Linked DNA regions of Styela clava. The protein of the gene in region 3 purifies or fractionates together with the protein of the main gene of each other region. This does not show direct contact. Links are inferred from orthologs where the notes say so. Each region holds a gene or a part of one and is shown on either strand. Other genes may lie near its edges.

Region 1 (7,873 bases), on a different chromosome or scaffold from region 3:
AAAACTCGCTAGATTGCGGCGGGTACGTTGATGTACTCCACTGTTTTATACAGCAATCGGTCGCAAACTGTTGGTCTAGTTTTTCCGGGTTTTAGTTTGTTGATAAGAAGTCTTCATCGAGATTAACCCAAGCGACGGTAAATCTCGCTTTCGTTTACCATGGGAATTTTATTTGCGGCGGAACGAGGGAGTGTTTTTGAAATTTATGCAAATTTCGGTATTTTTTGGGTGGTAATAGAAGACATATTATCCCTTCCATCTACCAAAGTATTTTGAGTTAGATAACGAAATTGCTACAGCAATATTATGCTATTGTTTGCCAACCAAGAAGCGGTAACAGTAAAGGATTTAGCGAATATTTCTATTTTTTATCACGGTTTGAAGTTTCAACACCCAAGAAAAAAAAATGCCTTTTTTCTATCCGGTTTGTGACTCAGACCACCCCTTTTGAAAAAAAAAAAATTTTTAATCGCCAATTGCAAGCTCTTTAAATAAGCTTTCCAACGAGACGTCAGTGGGCAGCAGAGGATCATTACTTTTTCGTTAGTCGATCGATTAGTTGTGGGGGTACAAATGCATAAAGTCGGCGTAGCAAATACGATTATTTAATAAAAAATAAAAATCGCATGGAAAGGGTTAAATCTATATTCTAATTTTGCATAGAAAAATCATCTGTTTTTGGGTAGTAGCCATGAAATGATGCTTTTTCTATTGTTTTTAACAACTGGTTTTAAAAAATATCAATGGATAATGCCTTTTTTGTTATTTTGTTAGAAATGAGAAATCTGATATTGAAAACAGAAAAGAAAATAGGAAAAAATATTTGAGAAGTGTCTCAGTATTCTTGATTTGATGAAATTGAATCAAATTTTAATGTAGATATTACTGAAATTTAATACATTTAACAATACATTTTTAATACTTTTTCATCTCTCGTGTAGAAATATATTGAAAGATCTTTCTGTTTCTTTTCGCAGGTTGAAGTAAACAGAAAACATAATAAATTATCAACAATATGGTTGGCAGTACATGAACATGGTGTTAATGAATTGAACTATGTTACAATGGTTTGTATTTTGAACACTTTATTGTCAGTGATTTAAATCAGGGGTGTGCAAGCTGGGGCTCGTGGGCCTAATGCGGCCCTCAAGGAAAAAATTGTGTGGCGCTTGGAGAGGTGCCAATTTTGAATGATGTGCGACCCGTGAAGGAGTTTTTAATTTAATTTGGTGTCTGCGAGTAATTCCAATCTTTTTGCATTGAAAAGCCTATACCCGAGTCCAATTTATTATCTATGCCTATGACTTTACAATGCCGTAACAGCTGGCTTGTGCAAACAACGCAAGATCAATAACCAAATTTTTGTGCCTGCAACTAATAGGTAGCCTATGCTAAAAAAGATGCGGCCCGCAGTTTCACCCAGTTATTTGTATCTGTCCCTCTTGTATTAATAAAGGTTGCACACCCCTGATTCAAATTATCATTTCTTATTTTACTAACAACTGGTCTGATTGAGTGAATTAATATTAAGCTGTCTTATGAGTTTTAAATTTGAAGCGAGTAATCATTCTTATACTTATATAAACATGCATATTGTAGGCCTGTATTTGTTTCTTTTTGTTGGGTTATATATGAAACTTGTCTTGAAAAATGAAAACGAAATTTTATGTCAGATTTTTGAAACAAAACAATTTTTTTGACTTACTATTTTTTACAGCCCAAAAGGTGCACTTTAATTCTTTAATAACCTATTGTGTCTTATAGCCCGGTGCGCCTTATGTATAAATAAAAACCCAATCTAAGCATTTATTGACATGCGACTTATGGTCTGTGGAATGCGGTAGTCCATATTTTCTGGTCATCTTTTTTTTTCTATATTCAGGCCATTGAAAACACTTACAAGTACCTAAATATCATGACATATGGTGGATGTGACAACAGATTCATGATTGTTGTTGAAAAAGAAGGTGTTCCTGAAAAGCATTTCTACTCCATGTCTAAGGAGAAGGTCTGATTGTTTTAATATTATTACTGCACTTCAGATTGATATACCAAGAACAATTAAAAAGACTGGCTGACCAAAAAAATAGGGTCTTAGTAGTTCTTTTGATTGACTTATAGTCCATCTGTCTTCAAAACTTCTGTCATCATTACTTTTACATCACTTGACCTGGCTAAATTTTTTCGCATTTTTGATAATAATTTAATAATAATTAATTGATAAAATTTGATAATACTGGAAATCATAAAAAAAAATACTTTCAATGAAACCGGTGTGCTTGTATATTTTTGCACTAAAGATGGAATTATAAATTAGTGTCAAAAAAGATTTTACCGTGACCCAAATTGAGCTTTTTTGCGACCCACCGGCGGGTCGGGAACCCTAATTCGAAGAGCTGGTGAGTGTGACAAAATTGACTATACGGAGCACACCAGACGAATGTAGGTCCTTAGTAGTTTTCTTTGTATTCTTTTCTTTGCCATTTTAGAAGTGAAAGCGTTGAATGCCCCATACAAACGTAAAAGTAAAGTTGCAGTATCATTGTCCAGATACTGCCACTTTGGCATGTATGCTTTCAATTATCGTAATATAAAATCCGTTGCTTTGCAGGCATCTGAGATTGTTCATCTGATGACCGAATACATGAAAGTATTCACCGCAAAGAAGAGATATATTCCATGATGCTGCTAAGCCAACTAGTATTAATCATTGATATTGCATTCTAAAATGGGCGTCAGCTATTAGGCATGTGTAGTATTGGAAGATGTGAAATAAAAATGAGTCTTCTAGCTGGAATAAATGGAAACCGTCTGCATTAGGATGCTCATCTTGGAGCATGATATTTATCTCAAGAAAAAGGAATTGGATTTCGTATATATGGAGCTTTACACTCTTTGTTAATAATTACTGAGTATTTAGGAAGGATATCAGAACCGGGATCATTGGTGTTTTTGATAACTTTTCTATTGTGTGAGGGCCACCAGGAAAAGATCTTGTTTCAAAATACTCGCAATTAGTGATATCTTTATATTCATAATGATTTTTGAAATTAATGCTGTTCATCATGAAATCACTGATTATTTCTATGGAACTTTCTTGAACAATAAGTTCCATTTTGGTTATTTGAATTCAAATTTTCCTGAGGGGAATCTTTTGAATAATCCCTACTCACAGTATCAAATGTTGTGGTTTTTGAATTTCATATATTTTTTTTTCATTTAAACTGTATACTATATTTTATTTATGATGCACTTATTGATATCATTTATAATTTTGGTGTTTTAGCAGCTTGGTGCAACTTGAAGCATGGTTCTTAATATTTTTGATCCTTATATTATTTCTTATTCGTCAACATTAGGTATTTGGAATTACCTCTTCATTTAAGAAGTAAAAGAATCGAAAATTGAATTTGTGCTATGTTTATAATTTTGTGGTAGACTTTGTTAGTTGGAAATGTTAGTGGGGCTTCCGAAAGAGTTTTGTTCAGTTATCCTGGTAGAGAGGAAAAGTGATAGGATGGCTGTTGGTCCGGCAAAAGCTCTTGCGCCAAAGACTTACGTTCCTGAGAGCCTGTAATGGCTGTCACTTTCGTTTGCCGAATTATCCTCCACTAAGCGCGCTTTCATCTATACCTGCTTGAGCCACGAAGTCTAGTTTCAATTTCCAGGAAAATTGATGCGTCACTTTGTTGGCATTCACTTCCTAAGCGAAGAAGCCTCCAATATTCCCAATGAGGATTTTAGTAAATGGATTGCTCAGCTAGTGATTATGAAATTTCTCTGGTATTGTGTGAATTCCAGAATGAGTTTGTTACCATAATTTGAGAGAAAAAAGGTTCAACCATGGCTTCTTGAAGTTCATATTTACTTGTAAAAAGATTCTACCATTTTGGGATTCTTACATGCTCTGCGAAGGCGTTGACGCATTCCACAAAAACTAAAGTAATGCAAAAAAAAAAACGAAATACGGTACCGTACTGCCTTTTCCTTGGATGCTTCGTAAGCAAACCCCTGGAGCATATTTTATAAAATCTATCTTTCATGCATTGCCAGTGGTAGGAAAGTATTTACATGTTTATCTTGGGGGAGAGGAAAGTCGATGAGACGGCAAACCACGGCCCCTCTTCTGGTAAGGGATTATTCGATGAATACATTAGTTTTATTGATAGCTGCAGTAGAGGGTAAAATACATCATAGGTAATAATTTAATCGAAAAATTAAACATTTCAAAATGACGAAAGAACAAATAACCGGCTATATATTCCTAATATCTGTCCTAGGTTGGAAACCAAATTCAGAGAACGTAGTTTTCAGTATGTGTAAGGCCTCATAATGGTTCTTCGAAAAATCTATTTGAAGATTTCTCATTTTAAACTCATAAGTAATCGAAACAATCACTGAAATCATGCTAGATATTTAGTCCAAACAGTTTAGAAAAAATGTTGAGGCTTTAATATAAGGACATTTGTAACAGTAATCAGCCCTGTGTAAAAAGGTTCATGAAAATTGACTTGTATCTCGAGAAAGTGGGATGATAGGAAATGATTGAAACCTCCGAAGATTCGGAGTGTTCGACTTGGTTTTCACCCTTATGTCTTGAGATTGTCAAGTATATAAAATGGCGTAGCATGGTTGTTAAAATTTTAGTCGGTAAAAATTGATATTTGCACTCAGATATTTGTTCGACATTAAACGAAATAATTATTCGTTTATATCGAGTAATATACATTTCCGCGTTCAACGTTTTCCGGTAAATAATGAATCCGCGTCGTTTTGCCCTCCAGTGGTAAAAACAATTTCTTGTATCCGACTGTGGGTATTTTGTCAACTAACCCAGGGCCAGAGGCAAGATCGCTTTGTTTGCAGCTCTTACATTATTGTTTAGTGTTCTATTCCGTCTCTTGTGGGAATTTGCTGGTGTTTCATCATTTTGTATGTTTTATTCTCCTAGTTGACGATATTTACATTGTATCTATAGTTGTGCAAGGCACATGGAAAACTAATTAGTACAGTTTCCACAATATGTTCAGTTCTGGTTTTGGCAACACGCCAAAGAAGAATATGGTAAGTTGTTTTTTTACTTGAAATTTTTGATAAAATCATTGAAGCTATGAATTTGAAATTCTTTATTAATGTGACACTGAACTATTTCTCAATCTTATTCAATTATATAAATTCATTTCTAAGCTCTTTGAAGATAACGACATGACAGGAGGACTTGAAAGCATGGGGTATCTTAACTCTGGAAGTTCTGTAGCGGACGTAAGTAATTCATGTCATATGTTAGTCAAAGATTCAATATTTTTAGTTTTGATCTAACCAAGGTAAACAGTGCATTGGTTTAACCATTGCGGCATAATTGCTAAAAACTCTCGAATGCTGCTCGTAAAATTTTTGTCTTTTAATTAGATAATTTTTTTACAAGGAATCCAACGGTGATGTTTTTAGATTGGGCTTACTTTTAGATTATTGCGCAGTGTCATTTCGCGGTGTCTCTGAAAGGAGGGGTTTGCACTCACTGTTATAATTGATGTCTGTAATATGGGGGCTATTCCTGGAATCGCAGAACTGTGCCTTGCTGATGTAGCAGCCCATGAGCCCTATATCTGTATATTGAAAAGGCTATTGAAATAGCGAATGGAACCAGAAGTGAAAGTATTTTTGTTGCAGAGTGATTCATGTGGCCACTGGTCTGTTTCGACCTCATCCGCTATCAGAGTATGACTGGAATTGGTGACAGGACAAGAAACCTTGGTCCACCATATGATAAAGCAGTCTCTTTTTTCCTGTGATAGATATAAAACAATATCTTGTTTTTAGTTTTCCATCCTTGTATCTGGTTGCATAAAATGTTGTATTTAGCAAACATATTAGAACTTCATGCAGCAAATCTTAATCAAATAAAACTTCAATCGCCGCCATCTAAACTTAAATAACAAATACATCTCACTCTAAAAAATTTATTGGTTATAGATTGTGTTTGTTTGATTTTGAAACTTTTTTTTTTTTGCAGATGTTAGGGCAGTCTCAATCTTCACAATTTTCTCCATTATATGGACAGCAGAGTAAGTTAATTTCGTCAAAATTCATAGCGTTTCTAATCGAATACGAATTAAATTATCGTAAAAAAAATTTTTTGATGTGTGAATGCTACATGATAATTTACAGTTACTACTTCAAGCTGTGATACTTGAACCTGTAGGATAAAATGACATTGAAATATTCATTTTCTTTAATTTATTTTAACAGAATCCAATACAATGGGAGGTTTGGGTCAATTTGGTCGGAGTTTTTCAATACCAGGGAATTTAACACCAACAAGTTTAGGAGGAGAAATGTTAAATCAACAACAACAACAGCAGAACAGGTTCGCTCAAAAAACATTTTCACTGATTTTTTACACATATATTTTATGTCTTTTGCTTGGAACAAGGACTTATACAAGCAGGCCCTGATATGTAAGTCTACTATTTTCAGGATCACAATCTTGTCGGGTCGGCATTGCCTACCCATTTTATTACACCCTGGGTGAGTTGGTGGGTGTGGGATTTGAACCTGAGACTTGTTACCTGTGTTTCCAACACAGTTGAGTCTAAGGCTTCAACGCAACGGTTTCCAAACTTTTTGTTCGTGTGGTGCAAAATTATCAGGGAAAACTCAAAACTCAAGACGCACTTACTCGAAAAAATGCTGCTTTCAAGTAAAACTCAGTTTTGTGATCGTTTATGTTTACTCCATACCTTTGCTATAGCAACTTTGATTTACGGGAACCAGAGCTCTGAGAACAAAGAGCCGCATGTTGCCGATCGCTGATATAGAATATAATGCAGGAGCTTGTTCCATCTATGTGTGACCCATATTAACCTGATTCAGACGCCCAATCGAGCCCAATTTTGAATAGATTTTTATTAATGTCATACGACCCCCAAAATTTACCCAATATACAATAATTATATACCATTGGAAAGGTATTTTAGAGTACTATACGCTAGATGTCACTGGAGGACCGTAAACTAAAACACCTCTTTCAAGAGGTCTCTCGTAACGTCAAAAAATAACAAAAATATTTACACTCTCTCATTCTATCAGCTGTTGGACGTCTATACCTATTGTAAAGCTGAAATGTAACTATACAGTTGACTGCACATTGGTTTTCTCTTTCATATGATACTAAACGCTTTTCCATAGCGCGCAATGTTCAAGCGTTTTGGAAATTTTCCGTTTGAGAAGGCACCACATCGAATCAGGCCAGGCTAAGCTTGATAGATCGATCGGTTGTTTGTTTGTGCTTTATCGCGTTGAAAGCTTTTGTGAGTCATAATAAAACATTTATTATGAATCATAAAAGCTTATAATCGTCAGACAAGGAGAATTTGCGAGATAAAAGCCTAACTTTTTTTTCGGTGAGGCAGCTGCGATCAAACGACTCGATATTTTTATAACTTCCTGACGTTGTGAGATGTCCACTCTCCTATGTTATGTAGCATATAAAATGACCTTCAAAATAAGACCTTATCATACTAGCTTTTGTTATTGGTTAGCGCGCAACGCCAAGGTTTATGGAATCATTTTCTTGTTGTGCGACGTTTTTATATCGCAGCGGGAAGTACACGCGTGATATGTAAGCGAAATTTTATCACTTCTAAATGTCATATAAGGTTCATTCTCATATCGTTGTGTGGGGAATAAGATTTCCTTTCAAGCAAGACCATAACAAACATTCCAGACCTCATGGTATACACACAGCATTGCAAAACGTCTGAAACGTCGCGCATGCGTCAAACCGGGAGGATTAGGTTAAAGAAAGATTATTTTCATATATTTTTTTGTTAAAAGAACTGATCAAAATGGTATATTTTACGCAGGGGTATTC
Region 2 (7,979 bases), on a different chromosome or scaffold from region 3:
CAGTATGCTCAAATATCTCGAAGCAAAAAAAAAAAACTTTGTTATTTAACAAAAAATACCAATCAGAAAAAAATATTTCAAAACTAACTCCTACTCCTGTATATCAATATACATGCTTGCTGACATAAAGTTGGTAACAAAAATTAACTAAGACACGCAAAATTTAGAGTCATACACTCAAAAATAAACCATTTACAATACAAGTGAATGGCCATTACAATTGCAATTAATTGTATAAAAATACTGATACACTGGAACAGGAGTGAATTTTTTTAATAAATTATGGAGAGTTGCATAGTGTATGAGCACCGTTTAAATACCCATACACTAAAGCAAAGAATAATTTTTTCAATATAGGTATTGTGAAGTGTTGTAAAGTGTGAGAGTGCTGTTTTAATATACGTTTGTGAAAGAATTTAATTTTGGTATTACCAGTAACACCACAAACCTGTGGAATGTCACCCATTTAACATTATCCATGAGGACAATGCCTGATGTCATTAACAGCTCTGCGAAATATAAAGGTTCTACTCCCTCGTCTTCGTGTTGTTTAAATTGAATTCCGCTTTCATGCAGTAGATCAATTGATTCTTGGGCGTACATATCCTCGCTAAATTAACGAGATAGAGAAACGATAAAATCATAAAACATATGGTTACCAATTGCATTCCATATGATAATATGCATAGTATATTTGAAAAAATATTTCCCAGAATTGTGGCCCTACTCATAAAGAATATTAACGCTACACTTTTTTGATGATTAATTCAATTGATATTTTGATCTAAACGTCTCAAAATTACACAGGGTCAAATACATTACTATGACACATTCTTTTATTTTAACTTGGTACTTATGGGTTGTGCTGGCATACTTAGATACAAAAATCGAGGCTCCAGTCCAGAAGTGTGTGTACCAATATGGAAGTAACTAATTTTGTTCGCTTACTCTACAAGTTGTATAAACACGGATTAAAACCTATGGGCAAGGCGTATATTCACTTGGCTAACACAGACAGTCCCCGAACTCGTAATAGAACTAAAATAAGGAAAATCGGAATAAAATTATGCCCTAACCTGGTACTCACACTACGGGAGTACCCAAAAATCAGATAGGCCTACAAATACCGGATATAATAATCATAAAAAATGCCTAAAATTTTGCATAAACACAAAAGTGAACTTGTATGTATAAATCTATATTAGAAAAATTAAAGTCATGCATTCAGCTCAATTGGATATAATTTATAGGGTGACCGTACATTTGAACCCACGTACATTTGAACCCATGTGTATATCCACGGGTTCAATCTATATGCAGGTGCTAAAACCCATGGGTTAGGGTTAGTATGGGTTCAACTATCCGAAAAACAAAAAAAATTCCATAGGTGCAATAGCATACAGGTACAATTGTCATGGGTTCAAATGTAATGGAACCAATTTATAGATGCAATATTGGACCAAAAGAAAAAGTGCTGGTCGAAATAAACTGGTTAAAAAACAGTTATTTACATTCTAAAATATACCAAGAAAGGATTACAGTAAATTAAGCAATAAAAAGTCTTGAATATAACTGTATAAATACAATTTCGGCATATTTACTCAAAAATGTAAAAAAAGGCACAATCAATATGGTGGAATTATAATAAAAACCTTATTTTACAATTTACTATTTAGGTGAATTTTCAAAACAAAAATAAACCAAAGAACTATTTATTGATAACAAACTCACTTCAAACTGAAAGCAAAGTTGAACTGCCATGTTGATATTCCAGGTGGAGTTTCACCCTTGTCATTCATAAAAGTCAATCCTAGTTGAATTATTTTCAAAAGATCGACATTACATTTTAAAAGTTGATATTGATAGTCTGAATTGCTTCGAAACTCTCCAATTGGCCTTGCAACAACACCAGGAAATTCTGTGTCCTAAATTAAATGTTTATATTAGTAATAGTATCTGGGTCAAGCCTACTCTCAAGCCTATATTTTTACTTTAACAATCGGAACAAACAGATATTTCCATATGAAATAAATATTTGGATACATTTAAATTCGATTATATTCAATATGATTACTTGTTGATTTTAGGAATAATTTAGAATTTTTCATCTGACAATTTTTCATCTTCAACATTTGACCTCTATCAGTCAGACTAGGGAAGTCTGAGAGTTACCCCAATATTTTAAAATCTATTCATTATGACACAATAGGAAGTACTATTTCAGTATGTCTTCAGAACGCATTCTTGTCATCAATGGTTGAAAAAAGGTTTATTCATTGACTAAGGTTTGGGGGTCAAACTATGATAGAATATATAAAATGAGAAAAAATTTACTTATTTTTCAATAAAAACATAGATGAATAAAACTTCAACACTGAGCAGTTCAGCATTATTTAACCCATACTGTACAAAAATTTATATTTCTCAATTTATATTTTTTACCTGATTCGAACTGGAAATTAAATTCATATTCTCAGGTTAAAATGATGTTATACCGGTATTTATATGTTCAAATACATTAAGTGACAAACCACTAAAACAACGATTCGGTTTTTCAACAATATCGCGTTTCCATTTCTCTGTCTAAATTTATGAAAATCAACTATATAAGATTTTCATATTTATCCCGGGGGAGAGGGAATGCGATAAGACGGCTTAATCATATGGCAAACCACGGCCTCTCGAACGGTGACCAGTTCATGTCAGGTATGGGGTTAGTTAGCCAGGTATTAGTTTTCAGAAGCTTGGATATAAAAAATACAACATTATATAACAGTAAAATGGATTATTGTACCGGTAATCATCCAGCCTGTTGCAATATGATAAAACGCTTACCATAGAAACATAAGGATAATGATGAATCAACTTCCTAATTTTTTTGAATTCTTCGTCAACATTTGATGCCCAAACTTCGAGGATTGGATCATCTGCATTCTGACCAGGCATCTTCATATGCTAGTGCTATTTTTAAAGAAGTCGAAACACAGAAACAGTCTTAGGCTATTTGATTTTTCATTCGCTTTATTTTATTTAATGGAAAAAGAACATAAAATAATAATCACCATAATTTTTACAATTTTAACAGTAAAGTACTGTTATATTATTAACATTTAAATATAGCATGTAAAGAGAAGTTTTTTTGAAATATTAGCTTTATTTTAATACTTCAACACCACCTGATCGTACCAACATAAATAATTTTAAGCAAACGCAATTGTCAGGTTGTATGTACCATGTTTTAAATCAAATCCTACGCGGTTAAAATTGTGGAACGAATACTGTAAACTGAAACTAATGTTTTTAAACAATCATCAATTAGAAGAAAAAACAAAAATATTTTATAAATGTTATAAAAACTCCAACTTTATCGCTGTTTTATTAACTCCCTTTCCCAACTGTATAAATATGAAATTTCAATCTGATACGAAAACTGAGACAACATACGGACATCATAACAAAATCGAAAGATGAATACAACAGGGATTGATTCAGATATTTTATTTTGTGACAAAGAGTATGATATACTGCTATTTCTAGAAATTCCGCTTGAATACCGAGTATTCAACTATATATGTGTAAATAGTTTGCAGTGTAACTTACAGTGTAACATTTTTAAACATTCATTTAGTGGCATATTTTTGATTTGTTCTCTCTGTGTGTATACCGGTACTGTTTTAACAATGTTGGCCACGTCAATGTATCAATTAGGCTACAGACCTGCTCATGTGTGATTAGTGTTTTTCCTAATAATTGCTTTTATGAGTGTCCGCACACCGAATTTGCCGCCATGGTTTTGCGTTTGTTTGTATATGAAACCACTTATCACCTTTTCTGCAATGCCCAATCTAGCAATCAGTGTAGTTTTTCGTGGCTTGGTTTTTCCCAAAGCTTTCATGGCTTCATGAGTATGACTATCGTCGCAAATTTATTACATTCCACTCCCCACATTATCTTTGCATGAGGTTGTAGGTATTGGTCATTATCAACGTAATTGTTGAAAGAGAGTACAACAGCCCGAAAGTTTATTACTATCGTGTATTTTGTTTTTTAAGTTTGGCCCAAGCTTCATTTAATTGGGCTTGTGTTTTTGTGTGCGTGCTGGTGGGCAGGCACATGAGATACTTCATGTTTTAAACTTTTTTGCAGGTTTTGCTTGCCCTCCAGAATTCTCCATTTTAAATTTAGGTTTGCTATGAAGTTTTCGAAATAAACTATCTATCTATCTATCTGTGCGCACTTATTATTTCCGCGTAATATTTTCAATCCAGTTGCAATCTTCATTAACATATTAGGCCGCGAGCCGAGGCCCTGAAAAACGCCTAGAAAATGAGTTTCGTAGCGCACATCAGGTAACTACCTGAAAATGATTTTAAAATGTTCCTTAAAAATTTAGTAACAAATATTGCCTTGTTCCCACGTCCAAAAGTTGCACGTTTTACGGAAAAGACGCTTTTACTACAAGAAATATGTGCTACGATCTGTCCTATATTCTCTACATTGTCGGCACTGAACAATGACTTCTGTTACAGGCAGAAATTTAACTTTCGTGAACTAACCTATTAGTTTTAGTTATTCTGGTCCCGATAAACATGTTCAGACTTGCTCTCGTTTATTTATTTGTTTATTTATATTAAGCGTCACTGACCGAGAGAAAGTTTGAAGTCTTGGCAATGATGGTGCAATACTCTCTTATATCAGCTGATTTGTATTCATGCCCTTGTTTTTCTTATTGTATTATACTAAATGTCCTATTTATTAGTGTGGGAGACAGTGCAATGAGGCCTGGTCACATGAATTTCTTTGTTAGTAGCTGCGATTACTTTGCGGCATTGAGTTGCAAATTGTAGGGTTTTGATTATGCTAATTTAGGATTGTTAGGATGTTTAGGGTTATTTAGTAATATAGGTTCTAATTGAGTTGTATGTCGAAGGCTAATTATACTCTTTTATTGTTTTTGTGTCTTGTAGCTAAATTTAAGTACTGTTGTTGGGCTGGAGACACAAATATATTGTAACCACATCATACAACACATCATACAATACACATACAATACATTTACATACAGACATCAAGTTTTGACATTCACTGTGTTACACTGCCGTTATACTTGCTGTGGAAATTTATCTATCTACTGTGGAACTTTTAACCTGATTGTGGAATTTTACTGGACTGTGACTTGTATATACTGTAAATATACTTTCATTACAAGTTCTTTCATACAAGTTGGATGTGTTTATGTGTGCGTTACTACTGTGTCGAGAGTTAGCTACGGAAGTAGATTGACAAGACAGCCCAATAATCAGAAATAGGACCTGTAGAACCTCTTAACTCTACATTAAGTTACAATATATGTCTCGACTGTTGTCTTGAAAGTTTAAAGTCAAGTGAAGATGTCAACTGTTTCTGGATCAACTACTAAGTCATGTATGTCTGAAAGAGCAAAGGCAGAGAAGAGATTGCGACTTGCAAATCTGAGAAAGCAACAAATTCTGAAGCAAGCTGAGTTGAAACGTAAGCAACTTGAATTAGATTCTCAAACTTTAGCAGCCGAAGCAGATGCTGAAGAAGCTCAAATTGAGTATGATATGCTGTCAAGTGCTAGCCATTCAAGACAAGGTTCAGTTGTTGACGGGTCAACATTTTATGGATTTGAGGCTCAATCTAGTTCTGAGAAAGTTGTCAAGTCAACTCCGATTACTGATCATTTGAAGTTATTAAGTCAAGATGATGTGGCTGATACGTCACTTCCGCCTCCTATGAAACCATCAAATGTGTCGGACTTTGATCCAGAGAAAGCAAATAGAATCTTGCGGCAAATTTTTACTCCTATGGCAAAGGATGACAAAGGATGTATGTTGGATCCGAACGTTCCATTCATATCAAATGAGAATCAAATTCCATCACCTGCGAAGAATTTGGTGAGTGATATTATGCATGATCATAGATTTGATGCCAGTACAAATCAGCATCTCATTCGCTTGATTCCCACTGAAGTGCCGAATGTTGAACCTGTAAACAGGTCAGCAGCCCATGAAATTAAGATTGAGTCACCGGGTACTATAAGAAGCCATGCTAAGATGGAATATGGTATGCCGGATCACACTGTTCATGCGATGGCGCAGCTGACGCAAGCTTTACAGGGAGGAATGCTGAATGTAGCAAATATCATTAAGCAAGGTTTGATGTTCCCTCATATTAAGATGACAACATTTAAAGGAGAAATTCTTAAATATACAGAGTTTGTTCGAGAGTTCAATACTTTTATTGGTTCGAGTCAATTGGATGTTGCTCAGAAATTGAATTGTTTGATTTCCAATTGTGAAGGTTCTGCTAAAGAAGCAATATTGTCATGTGGTTCTTTACCTGCAGAAAGAGGTTATGAACTGGCACGAAGTATTTTGCATCGAAATTATGGTCAGAGGCATCTCATAATTGATGCACATATGCAATTACTTACTGAAGGTCCCTCAATAAAGGCAAATGATGTTAATGCATGGGATGAATTGGTCACCCAGGCACGGAATTGCCTCATTGTATTCAAGGAATATGATGCCAGATGTAGTTTGGATGATTTAACTACATTAAGAAAGATTGTAAAGAGATTTCCAATACAACATTTATGGAAATTTGCTCACATTGCTAATGAGAAGTACACCAATGGAGATATTGTCAATTTTGATACTCTTCTTACATTTATGGAGACAGTTTCAAATGTGAATAGATCTGGATTTGGTAAGCTTGCACTTGAGACACATAAAGGAAAGAAATATGTTGACAGTCCGAGTCAGCGGGGCAACCGCAGTGTGTCATCATTTCTTATTTCTGAAGAGTCATCTTCTAAAGCACCCACAGCTGATCCTAAGTTGAGTAATGCCACGTTGAGAAAACCACTACGAGAGTGCGTTGTGTGCAAATCTGATCATCAGTTGTGGAGGTGTGAAGAATTTAAGAAAAGGAAAGCCAAAGAGATGTTCGAGATTGTTTCCAGGAACAAGTTGTGTTTCAATTGTTTGCTTCCAGATCATTTTGCAAGCCAGTGCAAGTCAAATTATCATTGTAGAGCACCAGGTTGCAATAGAAGACATCACACACTGTTGCACGTTAATAAGAAGCCTGATTCAGTGAAACCAAATGGTAGTACAGATGTGCAATCACCTCAAGATGTGAGGTCTAATGAGGCCGGAGCTACGACCGCCAATGAGGCCGGTGTAACTTCGACTCAGTTGTGTGCTACTGAAGTTAAACCTGCCACCTTTATAAGAAGAAAGGTGGTTCCTGTGCGAGTATGGGGAACCGATAATCAATCATACGACACATATGGATTCATTGATGATGGCAGTAATGTTAGCATTATAAAAACTGAGCTTATGAAGAAACTTGGTTTACATGGCAACAGCGACCCACTCGTAATTAAGACGTTGGGTGGAAAAATTGAACATAAATCAAGTCCTGAAGTGTCACTGAATATTCAAGGACTCAATGAAACTAGGATTATTCAGATGCATGGAGTTCGAGTGTTGGACGATCTTCCCTCGGATTTGGAATGCAACATACCGTCTAATAGTGCGATGGCGAAATACGAATACTTGAAAGATATCAATTTTCCAAATGCAAAGAATGCAAAAGTTGAAGTCCTGATTGGTGTAGATGTGCCTGAAGCTCATGCGTGTTATGGAATGCGACGTGGGAGTAATTCAGAGCCATTTGCTGTACATACTGGTCTTGGATGGGCATTATTCGGGCCGGATGGTAAATTTCATCAACCAAGTGTAAAACATCTTGATTGGATTCATTTGGATAATGAAGAATTGCATGTTCAGATGGAGCAAGCTTTTCGGAATGAATTAAAGGATTCTAATGTCAGTGGATTTGACACTTTACCATCTATTGAAGACAAACAGGCTTTAAAGATCATGAATGATTCAATTTGTAAAGTGAATGGAAGATATCAAGTCAAGATTCCATGGAGGTCATCTGAT
Region 3 (7,491 bases):
GAATGCGCAATAGTATGTTACAATGAGCAGCAATCAACAATGAGTAAATATCCTCACTGATTAAAAAAATCTAACTGGAGGTGCATGAACTATTTGAAACCATAAGGGGTAAGTAAATATGTAATTTCGGCAAATGGGCAACCACGTACCGTACTGAATTAATAACTTCGTAGTATTTGACAAAGGCTGGCTTTCCCACATGTACTTAACAGTGCGATGCCCGGGTGTGATATACCACAATAGTATTTACTTTACCTTTTTCCGATTTCTTTTTACCTTAACTTTCCAAAATATCATTAAAATCGACAACAACTGTCGAAGCAGGCACGAACACCATTCGTGCTACGCCTTGAAGGCAGCACACATCCGCTCGTTTTCGTCTCGTCAAGTATGTGCATTGGAGCGTGCTATCGAATACGATCTTCGGACAAAAATGCCGGAGTTGCGCATCATGCTGTTTAATGTCATTGGTTACGGATATAAATAAGAAAATCAATGCTCGGAGAAACACCTATTAATTTTGTTCGTTTCAAAAATTCTATGGGATTCGATTCTGGTGAGCTACTTTGTTTGGGCTTTGTGTTCATATATTTGATTGGGCATCACTCTATCGTTCAATTAATACTCAATGAAAAACTGACATAATTTATTGCCAGCAAAGCAAAGGGAAAGTGCTTTTCGAGAATAATCCATGTTGCTATTCTCAACTATTGGTACTATCTCAAGGTGTGTTCAGCTTTGAAATCTTTGGATCTTCATGCAAACGTTATGCGACCGTTCCAATCGTAGTTAATTTTTTACCTTATCTTTCACCAACTTTGAAATATAACATTTTTTATTCTGAAAAACACTGAATGTGTTTTCAGTTCTTCTTCTAAATTACTTATCATTAAATCCAACGATTCAAGTTTCTATATTGTCTTACTTTTACAATACAACGTTGTCTTGAAAAAGAAGCCCCTCTTGTTGGCCACCTGTTTCGGTGTTAAAAAATAGAAGACGCTTATATATACATGTGCACATATGTAACAAGAGAGCTATGCTCAAATATATGGACACGTAGCGCCACCCAGTGGAATAAATTTTGATGACGTCATAGCGAGAGAGAAATAAGTAATAGCCTTCTGGAGAAAAATTTTATCTTTAACCACTGAAAATATCAAAGCAATTGGTCCAGTATTCGAAGAGAAAAGCGATTTTCCAAAAATGGAGACGGAGACAAAAGAGACAAATAACAATAACAACAAAATTTTGAAACGATCGTTATGGCCACTAAACGTGTCCAATAAGAGTTATTTAGGTTTACTTCTTTATCAATCGGTAAATGCAGCACATAAACAAAGCAAAAGGTTGTCGGTGCAGATTGTGGATCGTGAGCCACATTTCAAGTTTTAAAGTTGGTGCTAAATTTTATTTTAACAAATTTGGAGACGAATTTGTTGTAGGCCTGAATGCACTAGGACAGAAAACGACTATAAAAGTAAAATTAACGAAAGTTACGCAAAAGCAGAACATTTCAGATCCAAGTAGTAGAAATGCTGTGTGCCGGCACCTGATTTAAATTTTTTTCTCGGAATTTCTAAAAACTTTCCTTTTCTTATAAAGTACCGTAAATGCTCGTTTTAACATCCGGTCTTGATTAAAGGGTCCGTTTGAATAGCCGCTCGTGTGAACAGGGCATAAAAATAAATAAGGGCCGGTGCTTGAATACCCGCCCGGTGTAAAAGTTTTTTTTTTGCGGATTTGTACCTGCGGTGCGTAGAAAAAGTCAAAATTTTCATTATTCTCGTTTAAATCATACTTGAGAACTGGAAATGACAATATACGGTATTAATTATTGTAACAATCGATCTCATCTACCGGGATTTTTGTGTGTAATTTTACTTTAAAAATAACAAGCGCCCCTGCTTGAATGAGGGCCGGTTTGAATAAGGGCCCGGTTAGTGAGTATGTTAAAAAAATAAGCGCCGGGCTATTAAACGAGCAAATACAGTAGGCTAAATGGAGCCACATTCAGCCGATAGGAAATGTTTTCAAGTACGCTACGTCGCTAATTTTCAACCAATGATATTCAAAAATCTAAATTTTTTTTTTAAATCTACTGAACAGCTTAAGAATAATCGGTCTAATTAAGAATAATAGTTTAATTAGCCACATCCCCACGCGAAGTCTTATCTTCAATTTCTGCATGTGCGTTATGTATGCATTCAAGTGATGAAGCCAGATAAACGAATTCGACTTTCATTGGAGCGTATATATTTATATTTTATAGCACATCTTTTAATTGATTTCTCATGATGCATTTTCCAGAGATTCATCTCGGCCCAACATTGTTACTTATTTGATTTTATATCGAAGTATAACTTTCGGCAATCTCTTGCGTAGTGGAGTCTGGGTACGTTTAAGGTATATATTTACGGTTTAAGTTACGGGAAACCACAGAGACAACAGCTTCCACACATTGAGGTGTTATATACACCTCAATGTTTGCACAGCACAAGTTCACAAAACACAAGTTCACAAAGCACATGGATTCCAACTATTAAGTTGGAACGCCAGAGCATGGAATGCTCTTGTTATATTTTATTTCGTTTGTTGTCGTTTACTTTTACGCTGCTTTTATTATTGTTGTTTATCGCCCACTATTAGATACGCGCGTTCAGAATCACATTACAGTAAATATAACATACTGTGCACCGCTTGTTTGTTTGCTGTACTCAACACTTCTCGTTATTGGACACGTAGTGGACATAACGATCGTTTCAATATTATGTTGTTGTTGTTGTTGTTGTTCTTGTTCTTGTTCTTGTTCTTGTTCTTTGACACGTTTTTAAAAAGTCGCTTTTCTCTTCAAATACTGGACCAATTGCTTTGAAATTTTTAGTGGTTAAAGATAAAAATTTTCTCCAGAAGGCTATTACTTTTTTTTTCTTGCTATGACGTCATCAAAATTATGTGACTCTACGTGTCCATATATTTGAGCATAGCTCTCTTTTTTTCTTGTGTACAATATACTGTAGTAGAAATTGCGACCTATGTTCAAGTTCCACGCCCAGGTATTTACGTCCGAATTATCTTCCCCGTATTTTTTTAAAATTTGTTGTTTGTTGTTTGAGGCGAAGTGACTAGTTGGCTACTAGTAACTTTGGTTTTGAGGGAAGTGGGCGCGTGGGCACGTCTTGAATCGTTTTGCTAGATTTGCTTATTTCCGAATATTTATTTGTTTTTCCTGTGTTGCTTCTTTGTTTTGTTGTAAAGGAAAATCTAAATAAACTTTCTTACTTACTAATATAATCGTGAGACTATGTGCACGCCATCATGTGTAGAACAGCCGTTTGTTCGACAATCACTTGTCGCGCAAGCAGTTGATTATGGTTCCACGCCATGGGAAATGTGCGGTAGCTCGTTATTGTTCCTCAGGCAGATAGCTGTCCGCGGACTCTCGGGCTGAGTTTCGTTAGTCAATTCATACTGGTTTTGGATGGTAATGATCTCGCAATAGGAGCCAGATCAGGAAATAATATTGTGCTGATTTACAACATTTAATACTTTTAAAAACGTTGAACCCCTAACACTTGAATTTTTGTTAATTTCGTCTGCACTCATTCATGCTTTTCAATTAATTCAAGTGAGACTGCAGTAAGATACCAAGTGAGAATTATCATTTTTTTTTAGAAATATATATATTCATTTGACACATGTAACCCTGGCCCTAAAAATGACAAATGACAGTAGTCACTTATGAATACAGGAATATCGTTGTTAAATAAATTTGCTTGTCCGAGGGTTAAAAAAATCTTATTCAGTTATTGGGCGACTATGCATATTTTATTTTTTTGTGTTCCCCCTTTTTTGAACTAGTCTTCTCAAACTTGATTCCTGTTAACCTTATATCAGTATATTTGGGTTGATATATTTTATTATGTAGGCTACTCGATGAAGGGTCTGCCAAATTGAGATTGGATAGTACCGGTGATCAAACTGGCAGCACCTGTTTCTCATTTTAGGACATTACTGCATTAGATAGGGTATTGACAGATTGAAGTTGATGACCACAAATTTGCTATGATCTCAAATTATGCTCTTGTACTTGAAATGGAGTGGTAATTTGTTGGGGATAGCTGTAGTTCACGATGCTATTAAGTCATCTTATAGACTTTACTTTCCCCTCCAGCCCTCGGATGAATATGTAAATCATGTACTCTTACTGTCTTATGCCATGTTTAAAATCATTGTTGATTTTTCTGAGAGGTCAACTGTCACTGTAAGAAGGTGTTTAAACTAATTTATCTAATTCCTATTCCTTTGTGTTTATGTCTTATATTAATTCTATGATGAATGTTTAAATGCCTAATGATATATAACACCTAATTGCTGAATTGTGAATCGTATATTCTTATCAACAAAATACCATTGCTGTCGGATTGATTGTCATTTAACTGCCTATTCTGGTATTTGTGTGTCTCTCTTCTTCAATCTGCGGAAAGAATTTCCGGATCAAAGCTTGGGTATCCGGCGTGTGAGGTTGCGATATCGCGGGATTTGGGGATATGTTGCCCCGATGCAGCGATGAATCTTGATTCCTTGTCTTTAGCATTATCGCATATCAGCTACCTTGTGGCGAATTTGAGCAAGAAAAATTATAAGTCTGGTGTGCAAGAAATACTACAAGTAAGATTTGTTCAATCTGATCATCGATTTACCGATATAATGATCGTTTTTGTTTAATTTTGATTCATGCATTTTCTGATCAATCTTTTTGTAGCTTACTGAAAGACACGGCCCAGAAGCAGATCGTCATTTATTCCGCTGTCTTTTTTCATCCATTGATTTTGGTGGGGATGGTAAAAGTAACGGAAAAGATTATCATCAGGTAATTTAGTAACAGTTGAATGGTAATCCCGACTACCAGTAATTTAGTCGGTGTGATTTTTTATCATCACAGACTCATGTAGTCTTTATGGTCAATTTGTACTTATATATAACAGTAATGTGTTCAGACTGTTTTAATATTCAATCGGTTGGACTGAACACCAGTACTTGCTAAATTTGGACTCGTTTAAATTCTCAGCATTGCTGGCCTCATTAAATTTGATGTGCAGGGTACCACACCCATGAAATGGGCAACATTTAGAAATAGACTAAGGATATGTGGTTCACAATATTATGAAGCTAATGTGACAAAAACATGAGGAATAACGCTTGGAATTCTTTCATGAAAGCAGATTTCATTTGGATCAATCAATTTGACTCCTAACATGCTTTAATAATATTTAATTTTAAGACATACAGACCAATATCTCTACTCATGGTAATTGCTGCTTGCTATTTTAATATTTGCTAACAGTTTTAATTTGATGGGCTGTATAATATGTAGTATTTTTTTGTTTTGTATACTCTCAATTTTTTCAAACAGGAGCCAACAACTCTTGGGTCTAGTGTAGTTACGTACCTCAAGTACTTCTAGTTGGCGTAGCATAGCAATTTTTGCATATGTCAATGCCAATCCCAACCTGACTGAGTCATCCAAAAATAACGTCACGACAACATCACAGTGACGTAATAAGACCCTGCAAACGATACAAACTGTCATCCAAGACGAGCAGACGGTCACCTGAAATCGAGCAAGCTATTTCTTGGTTTTTTTATTACTACGATCCCAATATGAGAGAGATCGCTGCCGTTAGTGAGTTTTGCATTGTCAGTACAGGTGCCATTTCGCTCGATCGTAAGTATACTTCGGCAAGCTCTATGGAGTGATTGTGACATCGTCGTGATGTAATTTTTGGATGGCGTAGTCACGTAGGGGTTGAGATTGACATGTGCAAAAAATCGTTATGCTACACCCACTAGTATCTGAGGTGAAAACTACACGAGACCCCAACTCTTCACATACATTTATAATCCTACATACATTTATAATTTTGTTTACTTTCAGACTCAACTATTAATATTGCAGTGCAGCACTTTAGCTACAAAACCGGGTTTCATTTCAATTCTCTGTCACTCAGTTGACAGTCCCTTCTCTCATCAAAAATCATTGGTACCTTCTGACTCTCTACTTACCAATATCAGCCGTGTTTTAAAGTTCACAAAAGTACAAGAAGTGACTTTTGCAATCGCTCTGCAACATTCGAGCATTCAGGAAGTTCGAAAACAAGGTATGAGTTCTAAATGTTAAATAAAAACTTCTACATTAGTTAGGCAGAAATACCTGGCAAACAAGTTTACTATTCGGGTAAGTTAATTGAATTTAGGCCATTTTTGTGTCTCATCAAACATGTTGGTGCATTGTGTTAAGTATAAGTGCGAGGAACACACACTGATTACCTTACGCGGTGTCACTGGGTAAAATCTTGTGGGGATAATTACATGTGGGAGGATTACTGGACTCGTAGAGTGGTTCACCTAACCACTAGTCGGTTACGGCTTCCTCCACCATCAAGTTTATTCAAATAACTGACTAACTATTTTCTTATCTGACATGAACACTCATGCCAGGCAAGAGTCCGTGCCATATGTACAAGTCATCTTGTTAGTTTTCTTCAGGATAAATGACATTTTCGCTTGTTATTTTTCAGCTACTGAAGCAATTAAAACTCAGTTACCTGAATTAATCCGATTACATTTGGAAAGCGTTAAAGTTAGTGGAAGAGGGAGCAATTCACAGGTTTGTATGATTTTTTTTTTTATAATTTTCTTTGTCAAATTTTGAATTCCAGTTTGATAATTGAAGTATGATCCCTGTCTAGAATTTTTTGTCACTTCAAGTAGGTTATCATAGGACAAGAAGTATAACTATGAATTATTATGCTAAATTGTTGTTTCTTCTGCTGTAAAGATATCGTTTTCTTAGCAAATAAATAACGAATCAATTTCAAAGTTTCTGTACCTGAAGAAGATTATTGTTTTTATTTTTTATATGATTTATTACAATCCTTTTAACATTTCATATGACATTGGTACAGTTATTTGATTAAAATTTGGGTGTAATATTTCTGACATTATAGTGGCCAAATTACACCTTTGTACTTATAAAACTCTTGTTATTCTGTATAACTTTTTATCTCCAGGACATTGGCCTGCAAGACACTGCCATCGAAGTACTGCACTTACTTCTTAGTTATCTTGCCAAAGATAGCTCTGGAATTGTTTCACCTGATAAAAAGCAAGCTTTTCTTGCCACTCTCAGATCTAGTAAGTAAATTCATATATTTAATAAGAATTAACCATTAGGAGATGACAAGGTCCTTCTGAATCACAAATTGCCGATATGAATACTAATATTTTTGCTGTTCGACAAATGTAATAAAAGATTTATGAAAAGCAAGTTTATCAAACATGCTGACTTAAAAGTGATAACCAGAATCTAGATCAGAATTATGGTTTGTGAATTTTTTGATACATATGGCCATCCAAGATATGAATGAGTTGTTGTATTTCTCCAATGTGTTGGGAAATTTCTGCGGTTCTTTTCTAGTTACCGCTGCC

What was found.
Region 1: the proteins of CCR4-NOT transcription complex subunit 1-like (region 3) and CCR4-NOT transcription complex subunit 2-like purify together in Drosophila melanogaster (affinity purification with western blotting; 4 studies listed by BioGRID, with this or other methods). This does not show direct contact. The link is inferred for Styela clava from reciprocal best matches to the Drosophila melanogaster genes Not1 and Rga.
Region 2: the proteins of CCR4-NOT transcription complex subunit 1-like (region 3) and CCR4-NOT transcription complex subunit 7-like purify together in Drosophila melanogaster (affinity purification with western blotting; 4 studies listed by BioGRID, with this or other methods). This does not show direct contact. The link is inferred for Styela clava from reciprocal best matches to the Drosophila melanogaster genes Not1 and Pop2.

What each region holds. Positions count from the first base shown.
Region 1 is NC_135255.1:11,670,358-11,678,230, reverse strand, and holds the start of CCR4-NOT transcription complex subunit 2-like, read left to right. Parts: upstream 1-4,830; 5' UTR 4,831-5,022; coding exon 5,023-5,064; intron 5,065-5,187; coding exon 5,188-5,262; intron 5,263-6,013; coding exon 6,014-6,065; intron 6,066-6,249; coding exon 6,250-6,367; intron 6,368-7,865; coding exon 7,866-7,873. Other genes in the region: pleckstrin homology domain-containing family H member 1-like, read left to right, coding at 978-1,067, 1,883-2,008, 2,612-2,683. UniProt on the Drosophila melanogaster protein: Component of the CCR4-NOT complex which is one of the major cellular mRNA deadenylases and is linked to various cellular processes including bulk mRNA degradation, miRNA-mediated repression, translational repression during translational initiation and general transcription regulation.
Region 2 is NC_135263.1:10,970,666-10,978,644, reverse strand, and holds the start of CCR4-NOT transcription complex subunit 7-like, read right to left. Parts: upstream 3,044-7,979; 5' UTR 2,953-3,043; coding exon 2,836-2,952; intron 1,926-2,835; coding exon 1,732-1,925; intron 611-1,731; coding exon 449-610; intron 1-448. Other genes in the region: uncharacterized protein LOC120329965, read left to right, coding at 5,391-7,979.
Region 3 is NC_135259.1:12,741,995-12,749,485, reverse strand, and holds the start of CCR4-NOT transcription complex subunit 1-like, read left to right. Parts: upstream 1-4,466; 5' UTR 4,467-4,569; coding exon 4,570-4,671; intron 4,672-4,765; coding exon 4,766-4,873; intron 4,874-5,938; coding exon 5,939-6,161; intron 6,162-6,581; coding exon 6,582-6,670; intron 6,671-7,073; coding exon 7,074-7,197; intron 7,198-7,491.